Cricetulus griseus: one gene and its partner. The protein of the gene in region 1 interacts with the protein of each later gene in a pairwise test. Links are inferred from orthologs where the notes say so. Each region holds a gene or a part of one and is shown on either strand. Other genes may lie near its edges.

What was found.
Region 2: the proteins of Nupr1 (region 1) and Ranbp1 interact in a two-hybrid assay, tested with the Homo sapiens proteins (2 studies listed by BioGRID and IntAct). The link is inferred for Cricetulus griseus from reciprocal best matches to the Homo sapiens genes NUPR1 and RANBP1.

What each region holds. Positions count from the first base shown.
Region 1 is NC_048596.1:74,154,445-74,161,287, forward strand, and holds Nupr1 (nuclear protein 1), read left to right. Parts: upstream 1-2,247; 5' UTR 2,248-2,335; coding exon 2,336-2,447; intron 2,448-2,792; coding exon 2,793-2,923; 3' UTR 2,924-2,936; intron 2,937-4,095; 3' UTR 4,096-4,323; downstream 4,324-6,843. UniProt on the Homo sapiens protein: Transcription regulator that converts stress signals into a program of gene expression that empowers cells with resistance to the stress induced by a change in their microenvironment.
Region 2 is NC_048597.1:71,006,205-71,013,320, forward strand, and holds the start of Ranbp1 (ran-specific GTPase-activating protein), read left to right. Parts: upstream 1-2,320; 5' UTR 2,321-2,464; coding exon 2,465-2,479; intron 2,480-3,661; coding exon 3,662-3,798; intron 3,799-6,388; coding exon 6,389-6,546; intron 6,547-7,116. Other genes in the region: Trmt2a (tRNA (uracil-5-)-methyltransferase homolog A), read right to left, coding at 1-89, 428-536, 984-1,522, 1,705-1,767. UniProt on the Homo sapiens protein: Plays a role in RAN-dependent nucleocytoplasmic transport. Alleviates the TNPO1-dependent inhibition of RAN GTPase activity and mediates the dissociation of RAN from proteins involved in transport into the nucleus.

The DNA.
Region 1 (6,843 bases):
TCTATAGACCAGAGATCTGCCTGCCTCTGCCTCCTGAGTGCTGGGATTAACGGTGTGCTCCACTACTGTCTGGCTTCACATATTTCTTTTCTGAACTTAAAATTCATATTAACTTTTATCAAGTTCCCACCTAAGACCTGGCATGATGGTGTACATACATACACTAGTAGCCACGACTGCTCAGGAAGCTGAGGCAAGGGGATCATTTCAACCTAGGACATTGACTTAACCTGAGCAGCATGATAAGATCTAGTCTTTAAACAAAACAAAAATTCTAAGACTGGTGGCACATGCCTGTCTATAATCCATCACAGGGGAGGCCAGTGTGGACGGAAAACACTTGATACTTAACTCATACTTAAATTCATACTGGCTGGATGTGGTGATGTGCACCTTTGATTCCAACACTCGGGAGGCAGAGGCAGGTTGATCACCAAGCTCAGCACCAGCCTGGTCTACAGAGAGAGTTCTAAGCTATCCACAGCTACAAATTAAGAATGCCTAAAATGGGGCGGGGGTGGGGGCGTACAAAGACCTGTTTGTTTCATCATGCCTTCCACATCAATATATTATTTTACTTAACATTTAAAAGCCACATTTATATATTTGTATGTGTGTGTATGGGCATTTGAAGGTTAGAGGACAATATGTGGGACACTGTGTCCTGGACACCCCTGAACTCAGATTGCCAGGCTTGTTGATAAGTACCTTACCCACTGAGCCATATTGTGAGCCCACAATATTTTATTTTATTCTAAATTCTTCTTTTTCCACTCTTCTTTTTGTCACAGTGAGGGCACTGCATGGGAAACCATGGGAAATTGGGACAAACCCTTACGCTGTTTGCAGCTAATGCAAGGGCCTTTCCAGGCATTATGTCACTGGAGACTCTCACCAACCAAGATTGATAGGTGTGCCCAAATTCTGAACCCCAAAATCACCGAGACCCATTCCAATGCAAAAGCAAAGAGTCTTTTATTGTTTAACTAGTTAACTGTCTTAACTGGGTTCCCTCATCTATCCAACACAGTAGTTGGTCTGAGAAGGACCTGAAGGGGCCTCGAGGCAGGGAATTTATTGGGGAGAGCGACGGGAGTGTCTAAGGGTATGCAACAGTCTCAGGATTGGTGCACTTCCAGGCTTGGATGACCTATTCTGTGTTGATTGGTCAACGGGTTGTTATGGCCCTCCCAGGGCGGTTGCTATACTTTGTATGCCACTGTTATGCCACTTTTACTGTAAAGCATGTCCAGAGCCTACCAGCTAACTTCTGATTGGTTCCTTGCCACGTGGAGGGTATCTGACCTCCTAGTGACTAGCACAGTCTGGCAAGGTCAAACATGTACATGTGCTGAGTCAGAAGCCTACATCTTGCTGGGTCTTTTCTGCAGCCTGTCATGGCTGCTAAAGCAGGGCACTGGGTGAGGGTCTGGTCCCTTCAGTAGGGTTATCCTCTGTTAAAGGGGGAAACTGGAACAATCAGAGAGGGAGAGTGACATGTCCAGGGTCACACAGGAAACAGTGGATCTCAGCTGACTTGTTGAGTTTCTAATTCAAGCATTTGGGATGCTGAGGCAAGAGAATTACAAGTTCAAGAGCCAGGCTGGGCTATATAACGGGACTCTGTCAGAAGGAAGAGCAGAGGAAGGTTGATTAGGGGTCAGAGTGTTGAATCCAGGGTGTTTGTTGTCTCTACCAGCTAGCTAGCCTGCATCTCCTTGGATGAGGGGAAGTACCTAGGGACTCTATTGAAGTACAGTAAGGGGACTTTCCATAAAAATAGAAGCCTTGGGTGTGACTGGATAGGAACTGCTGACCTGGCATGAAGCGTGTCACTGTCCCCTCCTCTCTCCTTTTTCAGGGTGTATGCTGCCACCAAGTCCTGAGTCTGAACCAGACTAGAGTGGTGGTGGGAGCAATGTGTAGCCATGACCTAGAGCCAGGCAGGGCTTGTGGCAGAGGTTGAAATGATAAGGAGTGGCCCATCTGAGGCCCTCTGCTCTCCCTGGCCAACATGCCAAAGATTGTGCCCACATCCTGTCTGCTCCCTCCTCCCCGAGAGGCAGGAGTCTTCCATGTGGAAAAACACAGCTGGGCCTGGGTGAGCCCTGTGAGGGAGGAGGAAGGGCAGGGTGTGCCTCTCTGCTCAGGGCTGGCGTCTGTGGGCCCAGTTCTGGGGAAAGGCCAGATTGCATCAGACAGGACTTGAAGGGCGGGAGCCAGCCTGTGGTCTGAGGAGGAGACAGCTTTATAAGCAGGGGTGAGGGAACTGGGTGAGGGCAGACAGCTGGAAAACAAGACACAGGCAAGACTTTGGAGAAGGCAGAGCAGGGTGATGGCTACCTTGCCACCAACAACCAGCTCCTCCCAGCAACCCCTAAACCCAGAGGATGAAGATGACATCCTGGATGAGTATGACCAGTACAGCCTGGCCCATCCTTATATCGGTAGGCCTGCTGGGCAGCTCTTTGACTTCTCATCCTCCTCCTTGGATTTGGATTTTCTCTCCCAGATTGCCTTCTCTAACTAATCTGCTCCCTACCCCAAAGTAAACCCAATCTAGCCTCGTATACTGAGTTCTGTCCTCCTCAGCTCTGAGGGCTCGCTTCTAAGCATCTCTCATTCTATACATTAGTAAACAGCAGGGATAGAGTGCCCCAACCTCACAGGGCGACCACCAGCTGCCCTCTGGCTGTTCTGCCCTTCTCATCCCTATGCCCCAGGCATTTGTCTGTCCTCTGAACCTCACACCTCTCCTCTGCCCGTGTCCCTTCTACCTGTTGCTCCACCAGTCGGGGGAGGCCGGAAAGGTCGTACCAAGAGAGAAGCTGCCGCCAATACCAACCGCCCTAGCCCTGGTGGGCATGAGAGGAAGCTGCTGACCAAGTTCCAGAACTCTGAAAGGAAAAAGGCCTGGCGCTGAGGCAGAGCTGGAGGTGAGGAGTCACGAGCCAGAGAGCCAGTAAAAGTGGCTTTGCTTAGGGTGACAGGCCTAAGAGTGTAATTGAGTAGGAAGTGGGGAATCAAAAGCAAGCCCTGGGCTGGTGAGATGGCTCAGTAGGTAAAGGCACTTGCTGCCAGCAGTGACAACCTGTGCTAGACATCTGGGACCCACATGATGAAAGGGGAGAGAATCAATTGCAAGTTCTCCCCTTAGGAGGACCCTGCAGGTATCCAGGCAGGGAATCGAGCCTGAGAAGAGATGGGAACGAAAACCTAGTGCAGATCAACTTTGTCAACCTGGATCAGGCTTCAGAGAGGCTAATACCAGGCGGTTCACTGTCAGCCTATTTTAAGCTCTGTACAATTTGGGAAAAGGTTTCCACGCAACAATCAATCCAATCAGTTCAATTCCAGTTGCACAATAAAACTTAAAGCGTGACTCAGTAGAGACTCCTTTACAAAGTACATGTAACCATGAGGATGGGTTCTATAGCTAGAAGACCTAGAATCTAGTGTGATCTCTGACCAACAGCATAGAGGTCAGCAGGCTGTAAAGTACTTGTGACATCTCCCCCCAAGGATGGGTAATGGTCTAGGGAGGGAAGAGTCTGGGATAATCACTTTGGGGAATTAGGGTGAGGCCTGCCTCCTGGTCACCAGGTTGTTAACAAACCCACTCTCAGCTTTCTGGATGGAATGCAGGTATTTGATTTCATCTCCTCCATTGAGGAGACACCCTGTGTGATTAACATTCCTGGTTCTCTTAGTGCTTCTCTGGGAGTACAAGGACCATGCCCTCAACATCCTCTGACCTACCTCCACATGCTCACAGAGACCCAAGCATATGAGAATACTCATGTGTAGATACTCATGCATGCACACTCACATTCCAGTAAATAGAAAAAAAAAATAGGGTGTCATCTACAGCAAGAATGAGACCCGTATTTAACTCCGAGTTCCACTCTGATGACCAGAATGGGGGAAGTTTCCCATAGAGCCTTTCCAATTGGGAGGAAATTTGGCTTACAGAAAGGGAAACTGAATCTTAACAGAGTCAAGTACTTCACTTAGGCTACAGAAAAAATAAGTAGGGAAGCCAGAATTCAAACCCAGGTCTCTGCCCCTTCCACCACCTGCTTTCTCTCTCCACAGATGAGGCCAGACCACAGACATCACACCCAGCAATGGAAACAGGACAACCACACCCAGCAATGGATTAGGACCTTGGAGAGATTAGGAGATACAGGCAAAGACAGAGACCTGTTTGACTCTTTCCTACCTAAGTGAGGTTCTAGAGAAGGGACACCAAAAAAGCCCTTCTAGATCCAGCAAAAGGGCACGATCGGAGCAACAATCAGGGCAAGAATGGGGGAACTAGTACCCCCAAAAAGAAATGTGAGAGAAACCAGACATAAATTGGAGCGCACCTACACCCATTAGGTGAAGTGCTGGGTACCCCCACTGCCACTCACTGTTTTTCTTTGTATTGTCAGTAATGTATTGCCTTGTTGTGTGACCTCCAAAATTAGAGATTTTTAAGTCAACTAAGAGGAAACAAGGGCTGTAAGTTTAGTCTTGGATTGGACTATGAGCAGCAACAATAAACAGTATAACAGCGACAGCTTTCTTGTGTTTTGTGGTGTCATCTGTTTTGTGTCTGGATGTGTTCATGGAGTGTCTCTCTTGGGTATGTATTGGAATGGCAGTTTCCTTGTTGTGTAGGACTGGAGACTGAGCAGGTCCTGGTACTGGTACCTTTCTGTAATGTATGCAGATACTTTTGGGTGCCTCTTTCTGTGGTCTCTTTGTGGGAAACTATTTTGTTTCTTTGCATTGCTACCCCGGAGACAAACTGTGGCCAGCCCCTACACATTCTCGTACAGGATGAGGTCATATTTAGATAAAACTGCTTTTTTAAAAGAGAATGTTACTATTAATACCATTTGCAAAATGAAAAAAGAAACAACCAAAGATTTAAAACATGGGGAGTATTGGCTGGGAGGTAGAGGCACACGCCTTTAATCCTGACACTTGGGAAGCAGAGGCAGGTGAATCTCTCAGTTTGAAGCCAGCCTGGTCTACAGAGTGATTTCCAGGATGGCCAGAGTTACACAGAGAGATCCTGTCTCCAAAACAAAATAAACTAAACCAATAAACAAAAAAACATGGGGAGGATTTTTTTTTTTAAGTGGGTGAGGGTTCAAATCCAAGCATGTAATAACAGGCTGGCTTCCAGGACAGGGTTCCGGTCCACTGGGGTAAAGGTTCTTGGTGGTTCTCAGGACCAGAGTTCCAGGAGAGTGAAGCAAATGAGAAGATGGTCGGAACCAAGTGTTCAGTTACTGAGGTCTGAGTTAGGGCTGCTGTAATGACACTGAGACAAAACCAGGTAGAAAGTTCTCTCACACAGAATAGCTCCAAGAGTAAATATTCCTAAATTACAGATGGCAACTCTATTGTACTGGGGCTCCTGCTACTTTTAGCTTACTGTCTGCCACACTCCATACATTTCTACTCTGAAGCCCCAAATAGCTGCTTTAGTAGCTGCCATCACATCTGCATCTCAGCCTGTGGAAAGGCAGGAAAGAGGTTACAAGAAGCCACACATATTTTCCCCCTTTCTGAGACCGAGGATCTCTTTTTCAGGCTGGTCTCAAAACTCCTGGACTCCAGTGGTCCTCCAGCCTTGACTTCCCGGGTGCTGGGATTACAGGCATTTATCACCACTCCCATTTTCCCTACTCATTTTTAAGGGCCCCATTTGAAAGTAGAACATACAGTGCTTGCTCACAGTTTAGTCACATGCTGCACCCAACTTGAAGAGAAGCAGGAAATACCATACTTAGCTGTTCAGTCATGTGCTAACCCAAGCTTGGGTGCAGGCGGGTTTTATTAGAGGAAGGAGAGGGAGAATACTGAAAAAATGAACAAGAAGCATCACTTATACTCATCCCCGGCCAAAGTGAGAGGAAAGAGCCCTAGCTCCAGCCCTAGGCTGAGCCTTTGGCCCCTTCTCCACATAAACCCTACTTGCAGAGCTTGGAGTCCACTGCACTTAGGTAGGCCCAGTGGCTAGAGTACTTGCTGACTCATTGACATTCCAGAAGGCTGTGACCCAGCTGGGATTCTCAGGGACCATATTCAGTCACCTTCTGAGTCCAGCCCAACAACAGTCTCCCATGGAATCTGTCCCCGGCAGCATTAAAATACAAAAAGAAAACCTTCTGGCCTGGCTGGGCATAATGGAACACATCTTTAGTTCCAGCACTCAGAAGACAGAGGCAGGCGGCTTTGTGAGTTTGAGGCCAGCCTGATCTACATAGTGAGTTCCAGGCCAGCCAGGGCTCCATAGTGACAACCTGCCTTTTTTTTTCCTTTTTAAAGTAAGTAGTCTTGGCTATGCTGGAATTATGTAGACCAGTCAGACTTGAATTTATAAAGATCTACCAGCCTCTGCCTCCCTCTCTCAAGTGCAGGGGTTAACAGCATACACCACCATGCTTAGCCCAAATCATTTGCTGTTTTAAAATTTGCTGGTTGCCTGTTATTTTACAGGCAGGCCCGAAGCAGGCCCGAAGCACAGACTTTGGTGCTACTGTCTGCTCCAGAGCACAGTTGGCAGCAGCACACACCTATCTGGGTGTTGGCTTCAGTACCACAGCAACAGCCCCCATGTTTTGGGCTGCTGCCCTGGACAGGTTTTGTTCATTTGTTTGTTTGTAGGGTTTATTTTCTTCTGTATATCAGCATGTGGAGCTACATGCTAAGAAGGCAGGCTGCCCTGCAACAGGACTTTACAGGAGTTCCTCCATTTAATCCTTATAGTAACCCAGTGGGACATATTACTAGTGCCTCCCATTTTTCCAAACCGAAAGCCAAGGCTCGGGGAATTTAAACTTC
Region 2 (7,116 bases), on another chromosome or scaffold:
TTGTACTTGCCAAACCGGCAGCCAACAGTGTTGTCTTCTCCATCTATCCCAACTCCGACCAGAAACTCACACTTATTACGATATTCAGTCTGCAGGAGAGAAGGTGGCAAAGAGGCAGCCAGATCTCAACTTCGATTGCCCAGCACCAGAAGAAACACCGTAGTGAACAAGAGACCCTGATAGGGTTGGCAGGCAAAACAAGGTTTTACTGCTGGCTTGTCTAATACCAGGAAGAAAATAGCAAGAAAATGGCAAAGAGGATAAGGAAAGTTTATAGAAAATAGGATGATGATGGACTGGCCTAGCATTAAAGTATATACCTAATGTGTGATGCCTTGGGTTTTACCCCAGCACTGCATGACAAAACTAAACAAGGCCAACCTCCCTCTCCCCTTGCAATAGAATGAAGTTTTGTAGACAGCCTGACCTGCTGGGGTGATGGCCTGACCCCCTCCAGTGGGCAACAAGCCTTATTGTGTCGTTGTCTCTGAGTGAGCAGCCAGGGTAGCAGGGCACGGTTAGTGCTCCCAATTTCCCTGTAGAATGAAGCACATCATGGTTGGGGTTGGAGTTACACCGTTCCCCACCCACATGAGGCAGTTCCTTTGAGACTTATCCCACTGGTACCATAGGGGCACTACTAACTAGCTCCTTGGTTGATCACTTAGACTAGGTGGTTCTCAACCTTCCAAATGCTGCCATCCTCTGATACAGTTCCTTATGTTGTGGTGACCCTAACCATAAAATGATTTTGGGGGCTACTTTATAACTAGTTTTGCTACTATTACTAATTGTAAATATCTTTTCCAGTGGTCTTAGATGACCTCTGTAAAAGGGCCTTTTGACTGGCCCCAAGAGGACATGACCCATTGGCTGAGAACCGCAGACTTAGACCCTGTGGGTGTCCTGAACAGACTATAAGGGTGGTGGAGTAGGCCAAGAGCAAAACCCAGCTCTGGTAGGGACGTCAGTGCCACACTCACTTGGCCAGTTTCTGCAGCACCCGTTCACATTCCTGCCGCTTCTGCTCCAGCTGCTCGGAGTAGGGTACTGTCCAAAGAGGGGTCACCACGTCGGCAATCTGTGTAACTGATGGCTCACCATCACCTTCCTGCCGCCTCTTTCTAGCCATGGGGTCAGCCTTGGGTCGAGCCAGGCGCACGCTGAGTGGGCGGCCTTTCCAGAGAGCGCCGTGCAGCACTCGCAAGGCCTTGTCTCGTTCAGCAGCGCTGCGAAATGTTACAAAGGCACATGGTGGTTGTCCAAAGAGTTTGATTTTGTGGGATTGTAGACCAAAACGGCCCAAAAAGCGCCGGACATCACTGAAGCTGGCATGGCGAGGCACATTTTGCAGCTCCAGTTTAAAGATCTCTGAGGTGAACAGATCATCTCTTATGTAGCTGTAGAGCCCAGGCTGAGTTGCAGGCCCTGCAGCTGGTCCAGACTGTTCCTGACGTTCTGGGACTGCAGGGCTGTGTACTGCACTGGCATCTGGGCCGCAGCCCTCCATGTGCTCCCGAGCCTGTGTGGGGACAGACGGGCCAGGCTGAGGGCTGTAGCTAGCATGACTATCGCCTTGGGCTAGCTCCCTAAACCACACTGCCAGATCTACATTAGAGCACACTACCCCCAGCCCTGCCCAAACCCGCTCCTTTCTCCCACCCTAGCTCTGTTCCAACATTAATGACTGCTACCCAACCCCACCAGGTTCACATCTTCTGCATCTCTCTCCCTCTGCTTTACTTCCGTGTCCGGCTTCTCACTCATCGCCAGGCTCGTCTGCCGCCCGGACCAGGGTGCTCACGAGGGCCACCACCTAAGTCTCACACACGAAGTGCTCAGGAATTAAGTGTGACGCCGTAAGGGTATACCCCAGCTTCTCCTTACGCAGGAGAGGGTACTCAAAACTCGGGTGCTCAGAACTAGCACTGAGCACTGGTGATGCACCATCCGCTGCCCACAAGCAAGGGAGAGACACACGCCTCGCCTTCCTCTAGTAGGCCAGTGCACACCAGCCGCGCCTGGCTTCTCGAAGGGCTCGGCTTCCGATGACGTCACCGCCACGCGCCGACTCCTGACTGATCCTTCCACCAGCCGCTCACACTGACGTCAGAGACATTTAGGGCTTGCCGACGGAAGTGCGCGCGTGGGTCGCCGGGAAAGCGCGCTCCCCAGGTTGAGGCGCGGCCGGGCATGCGCCGCGGGCGTTTTGGCGGGAAGCGCGGGGTGGGCCGGACAATGAATGTCCGCCGTCAGAGCCAATAAAGCTGCAGTGGTTTTGAATCACGGCGCGTTTCCCGCCGCTGGGGTCAGGGGTCAGGGTTCGGGTCGGGGGGCGGAGGGAAGAGAGGACGGGCGGGAGACGCCGGCGCCAGACGCGGAGGAAAAGGAGCTGCGACTAGCCCGCCCAGAGGCCGCCGAGCCGCGACGCCTGAGCCAGTCGAGCCGCCGTCGCCGCGCCCCCATGGCGGCCGCCAAGGTACGGCGAGGCCCGGGTGGGGCCCGGCAGGCCGGGAGGCAAGGGCCGCTATGGGCGGCCACGTGGGCGGCCCGCGCCTCGGCCGCCAACCCTCGCTGGCCTGCGGGTTCGGGGCCTGTCGAGGCGCCGGGACCTGGGGGTCTCGAAGTCTTTGGGTTCCGGGAGTGGGAGCTGCTGGCCAAGACTCGGGTCTCGGGGGCTGCGGGGCGGCGCGTGACCTTGTGATGTGCGTAAGAGAAGCCATCACCACACCGGGCTCTCGGCTTTGCCTGGGGGCCTGGCAGCAACCGGTTTCCTTCGTCTTGGCCCCCTTGTGATGTTTCCACCAGCATCGGGAAACCCTTCTTCCAGTTGCCCACAGATCCTTCATTCATTCGGTCATTACGCCTGGAACCGCCACCTCCTTCGGTGGCGGAAGCTCGCGTTCCAGCGCGGGGTACAGATTATTAGACGCGCGGACTCAGGGCGGGGGCGGCTTTGTTGGTGGCTCGCGTGTCGGCCGCAGCGGAGCCGCAGTGCTGTGAAACCGAACGAAGGGCTTCTATGTCTTTATCCTGTGGAGTTAGGTAGTGTGAGTCTGGGTTTTTTTCTGTATTATCAAAGCACGTGATCTTGTCAGATTTAAACCTGCATGCCCTTGCAATCCTTCAAGCTGGGTCGGGATCTTAGGGCTTATTTGTCAGTTTCTTTCTTTTCTTTTTTCTTTTTTTTTTTTTTTAGCTTCTTTCAGCTTAAATTTCCAAGCGTGTAAAATTGCTGGAGGAATGTAAATGCTAGTAGTCCCATAGCAGTTTATCTTCCTAGTAAACTAACAAGTGCTTGGATAGTCCTCAGTAGAAACTGTTAAGGTTGCTCTTCCGTTTGAAATCATTTACAGAGGAGAAAGGGAGTTTCTCCCAAGCTACTTTGCCATGGACTGTGGTATGTGTGTGGAACTGATTGATGCTTGGATGTGCAGGGTGGGTGTTATAATCCATTGTCTTGTTGCATGCTATCTTGTATCTTGTGATTTTTGTGATGCTGTAAATGCAAACTGGTGATGTCAAAGACAGAAGACTTATTTTCCAGTTTAGGGGAGGCCTGTCTTCATTTTCCAGGTGCCATTTGTGATTGATGATGGATGCCCACTGTGGGCCAAGTTCACCAGCCAGCTGCATTATCTCTCCTTCCCTCTCTGCACAGGATAGTCATGAGGACCACGATACCTCCACAGAAAACGCAGATGAATCCAACCATGACCCCCAGTTCGAGCCAATAGTTTCTCTTCCTGAGCAAGAAATTAAAACACTGGAGGAAGATGAAGAGGAACTCTTTAAGATGTAAGTCTGCTGAGGTGTCCCTGGAAGTATCTTTAGATGGGTTGATGAGACAGAGAGAAATGGCCCAATAAGAAGCCGGTCACAGGGCATCTCTTTAAAAACTTGTAGAACCCAACAATCACAGTGGGACCATGTTCTCCTCTTTGCTTTCTGGAGGAGCCAGCCAGCCAAGCTAGGAGCTCTGCTGGATATTGTTTCTCTTGTGCTTGAGTGTAAGCCCTCGTGGTACTCTATGGCATTAACCTCTTTGTGATCTCTGTCTGGAACTTTGCAGAAGAACCCTGGGTTGACTGGCACTTTATGATCCCTGTGAATTTCACGGCTTGGCCCCAGTTTGATAAAGGCTGTTTTAAGAAAAGGTCTGGAGTTGTGTGGTGACTAGTCTTACATTGACAATTCAGCCATGCATCTGCCAAACCTTTTCCTGCTGCCTGTGCTTCCTAATGGCCAGTCATGAAAAGGGTGTCCCCATCATTGTTCTGTCACCTGGGTGTCTCCCCAGTTGATCTTGCACCTTGCCTCTAAGAATCAGCATTTCAGCAGGCTGTGGTGTTCACACCTGTAATCCCAGCACTTGGGAGACAGAAGTAGATACATCTCTGGGTTCTAGGGACAGCCAGGGCTACATGATGAGACCCTTTCTTGGGGGATGGGGGCTTCCTTCCTTTGTTGAGCAGGGAATCTTAACTTTCTTTCCTTTTCTTCCTTTCTGCTTTGTTTTCTGTTGCCTTAACTGGGTATCCTTAAAGAACAGGTTTGTTTAGCTCTCGTTTGGTTTTTTTGTTTTTGTTTTTTTTTTTTTTTTTTAATTTTTATATGTGTATGGGTGTTTTGCCTACATGGATGTCTCTACACAATGTGCAGCCTGGTGCCCAAGGAGGCAAGAAGAAAGCAGCGGATCCCTGGGGACTAGAGTTACAGACAGTTTTGAGTTGCCATGTGGTCCTCTGGAAGAACAGCCAGTGCTCTTAACAGCTGAGCCATCTCTCCAGCCTCCAGCTCATGGTTTTGCAGGTTAGGAAGTCTGAGATCTGAGAGCATAGAGCTAGCATTTGGTATGGGCCTCAGTCATGTCTTAATGTGGCAGTGTATAATGTAGTAAAATCAAGGAACTTGCTAATTTCAGTCTGTCTTTTACATACCCACTAGTGCCATTGTTCAGTCCTCTTGATTCCATCTAATCCTCTTGACCTTCTAAAGGACACTTCTAAATATTATTAATATGAATTTGGAAATTAAGTTAATGCCTAAACCATAAGGTCACACGCATTCAAACCTGTAGTCTGCATGTGCCTGGTTCTGTGTCTTACACAAAATGCCAGTAGAAGTGGCTTAATTATCAAAATTGCTTTTTAAAGATTACCTTGTATTTGCCACTTGGAACCTTCAATGAGGAACTGTAGCAGTATTTTAGTAACTTTGATTTTGCTGTTGTCTTGTTCTACTGGCCCAGTGATTGAACTCATGCTAGGCATATACTATAGTGAGCTATATCTCCAGCGGGCCCCACCTTTCCAGTTCTATACACCTGGTCTTGAACTTGCCATTTGCTTGCTTTAGCTTCCTTAATATCTGGGATTACAGACCTGTGCCATCACCCAAGATAGCTGAGCATGAGCTATCGTGTATCTAGTTTCACATCACAGCAGAGACTGGCTTGTTGTTGCCTGTGCTCGGAATTGCTGGACACTGGGTTCAGGTACATGCTAGCAAAGATTGTGTGTTGCTGCCTCTGGCATCTCCCTCTTTCAGGTATGTCTAAAATGTCAGATTAAGGTTCATGTGCTCTGAAATAGGGGAGGGAGCCCTGCTCAAGGAAAGCTATAAGTACACCTTTGTACCCAGAAGATGATGAGCCAGATTGCTGTTCTGCAGCACTGGGCAAGGACGGCATCCCTGGAGTTAGGTGGTATTTGATTTTTGACAGTTCAGTGCTGCAAGACTCCTGATTTCCTGCGCAGGGTCCTTGGTGTGTTTTGGGGGCCAGAATCTTGGGTCTTACATCAATCAGGGCTTTTGGGTTTTTCTATTAAGGAGTTGGGTGAAGATGTAGGCTCCTTTGACAAAACTTGAGTTTGGAGGAGAGCAGAGGCTTTGACAGAGAAGGAGAAGCAGATGAGGGCTACAAAGGAAGGTATTGACTTGGCTTGAGGAACAGGAGCACTGGACTCTACTGGTCTAGGTGCCTGAACCCTGGGACTATAAAGGTTACTCCTGACAGGAAGCTGGTGCTGGGCTTTGTGTAGCTAAAAGGCACCCATGTAGTGTGACTGCGTCACCCAGCTCTCAGGAGCTTCATTACCCACTCTTGAGCCATGTGTGCCCTTAGATGCCTCTCCTGGGGAAAATGCTTCTGCTATGAATATCTTTCTGGTTGTGAAGTAAACGCAACATGGAATGTGCTAGGCTATTTGCTTCCCTGGGTGGTGTTTTCTCACTAGTAATTCTTGGCGCCCAAAGGCCTTAGAAAAAGCGTCCCAACAGTACCCTTATGTTCAGCATCCAGAAAACATGTATTCTTTTGGGGTAATTGGTCTAGGTGTGAGTTCCCTCTCTGTCTAAATGTTTCCTTTACTGGCTTTTCTTACAGGCGAGCAAAGCTATTCCGGTTTGCTTCAGAGAATGACCTCCCAGAATGGAAGGAGCGAGGCACTGGTGATGTCAAGCTCCTGAAGCATAAGGAGAAAGGGACCATCCGCCTTCTCATGAGGAGGGATAAGACTCTGAAGATATGCGCCAACCACTATAGTAGGTGGTCTTTCAGGTCTATACACCCTGGTCCTCTTAGGAGCTGGTTACCAGGGGAGCAAGGGACTCAGACAAGCCTCTGAACTACCATGTTGGAGGTTACAGAATGCTGACTGGGCAGGATAGGTCTAGGGTGGATGTAGAGCTCCAGGATAGACTCAGGTGGTGATGCAGTGGGTACTTGTTTATATATATTATCTGGGCAAGTCACGGGGGTCTGGTGCCAAAGCTGTTTTCAGTTTCTGATAATGCTCTACCCCCAGCTGTTCCCTGGGATGATTCAAGAAGGGAACGGGGCTAGGAAAATGGTGAGGAAGGAGGGCTCTTGGCCAGGTATGGCCCTGTGGGTCTACACAGAAGTCTCAACAAGCCATCCCTGCCCTGTTTATATTCTAAGGATCCATCTTCGGGTGGTCTTGATCCTGGTAGATGTAGTGCAAAAATCTGTATTTTCTAAATTTAAAAATCTTGTTCTCCTCATGAGTCTGCATGTGGAGGACAAAGTAGCATTGTGGAGTCTGTTCTTCCCTAACACCTTTAAACGGGTTCTAAAGTCAAACTGGGATCCCT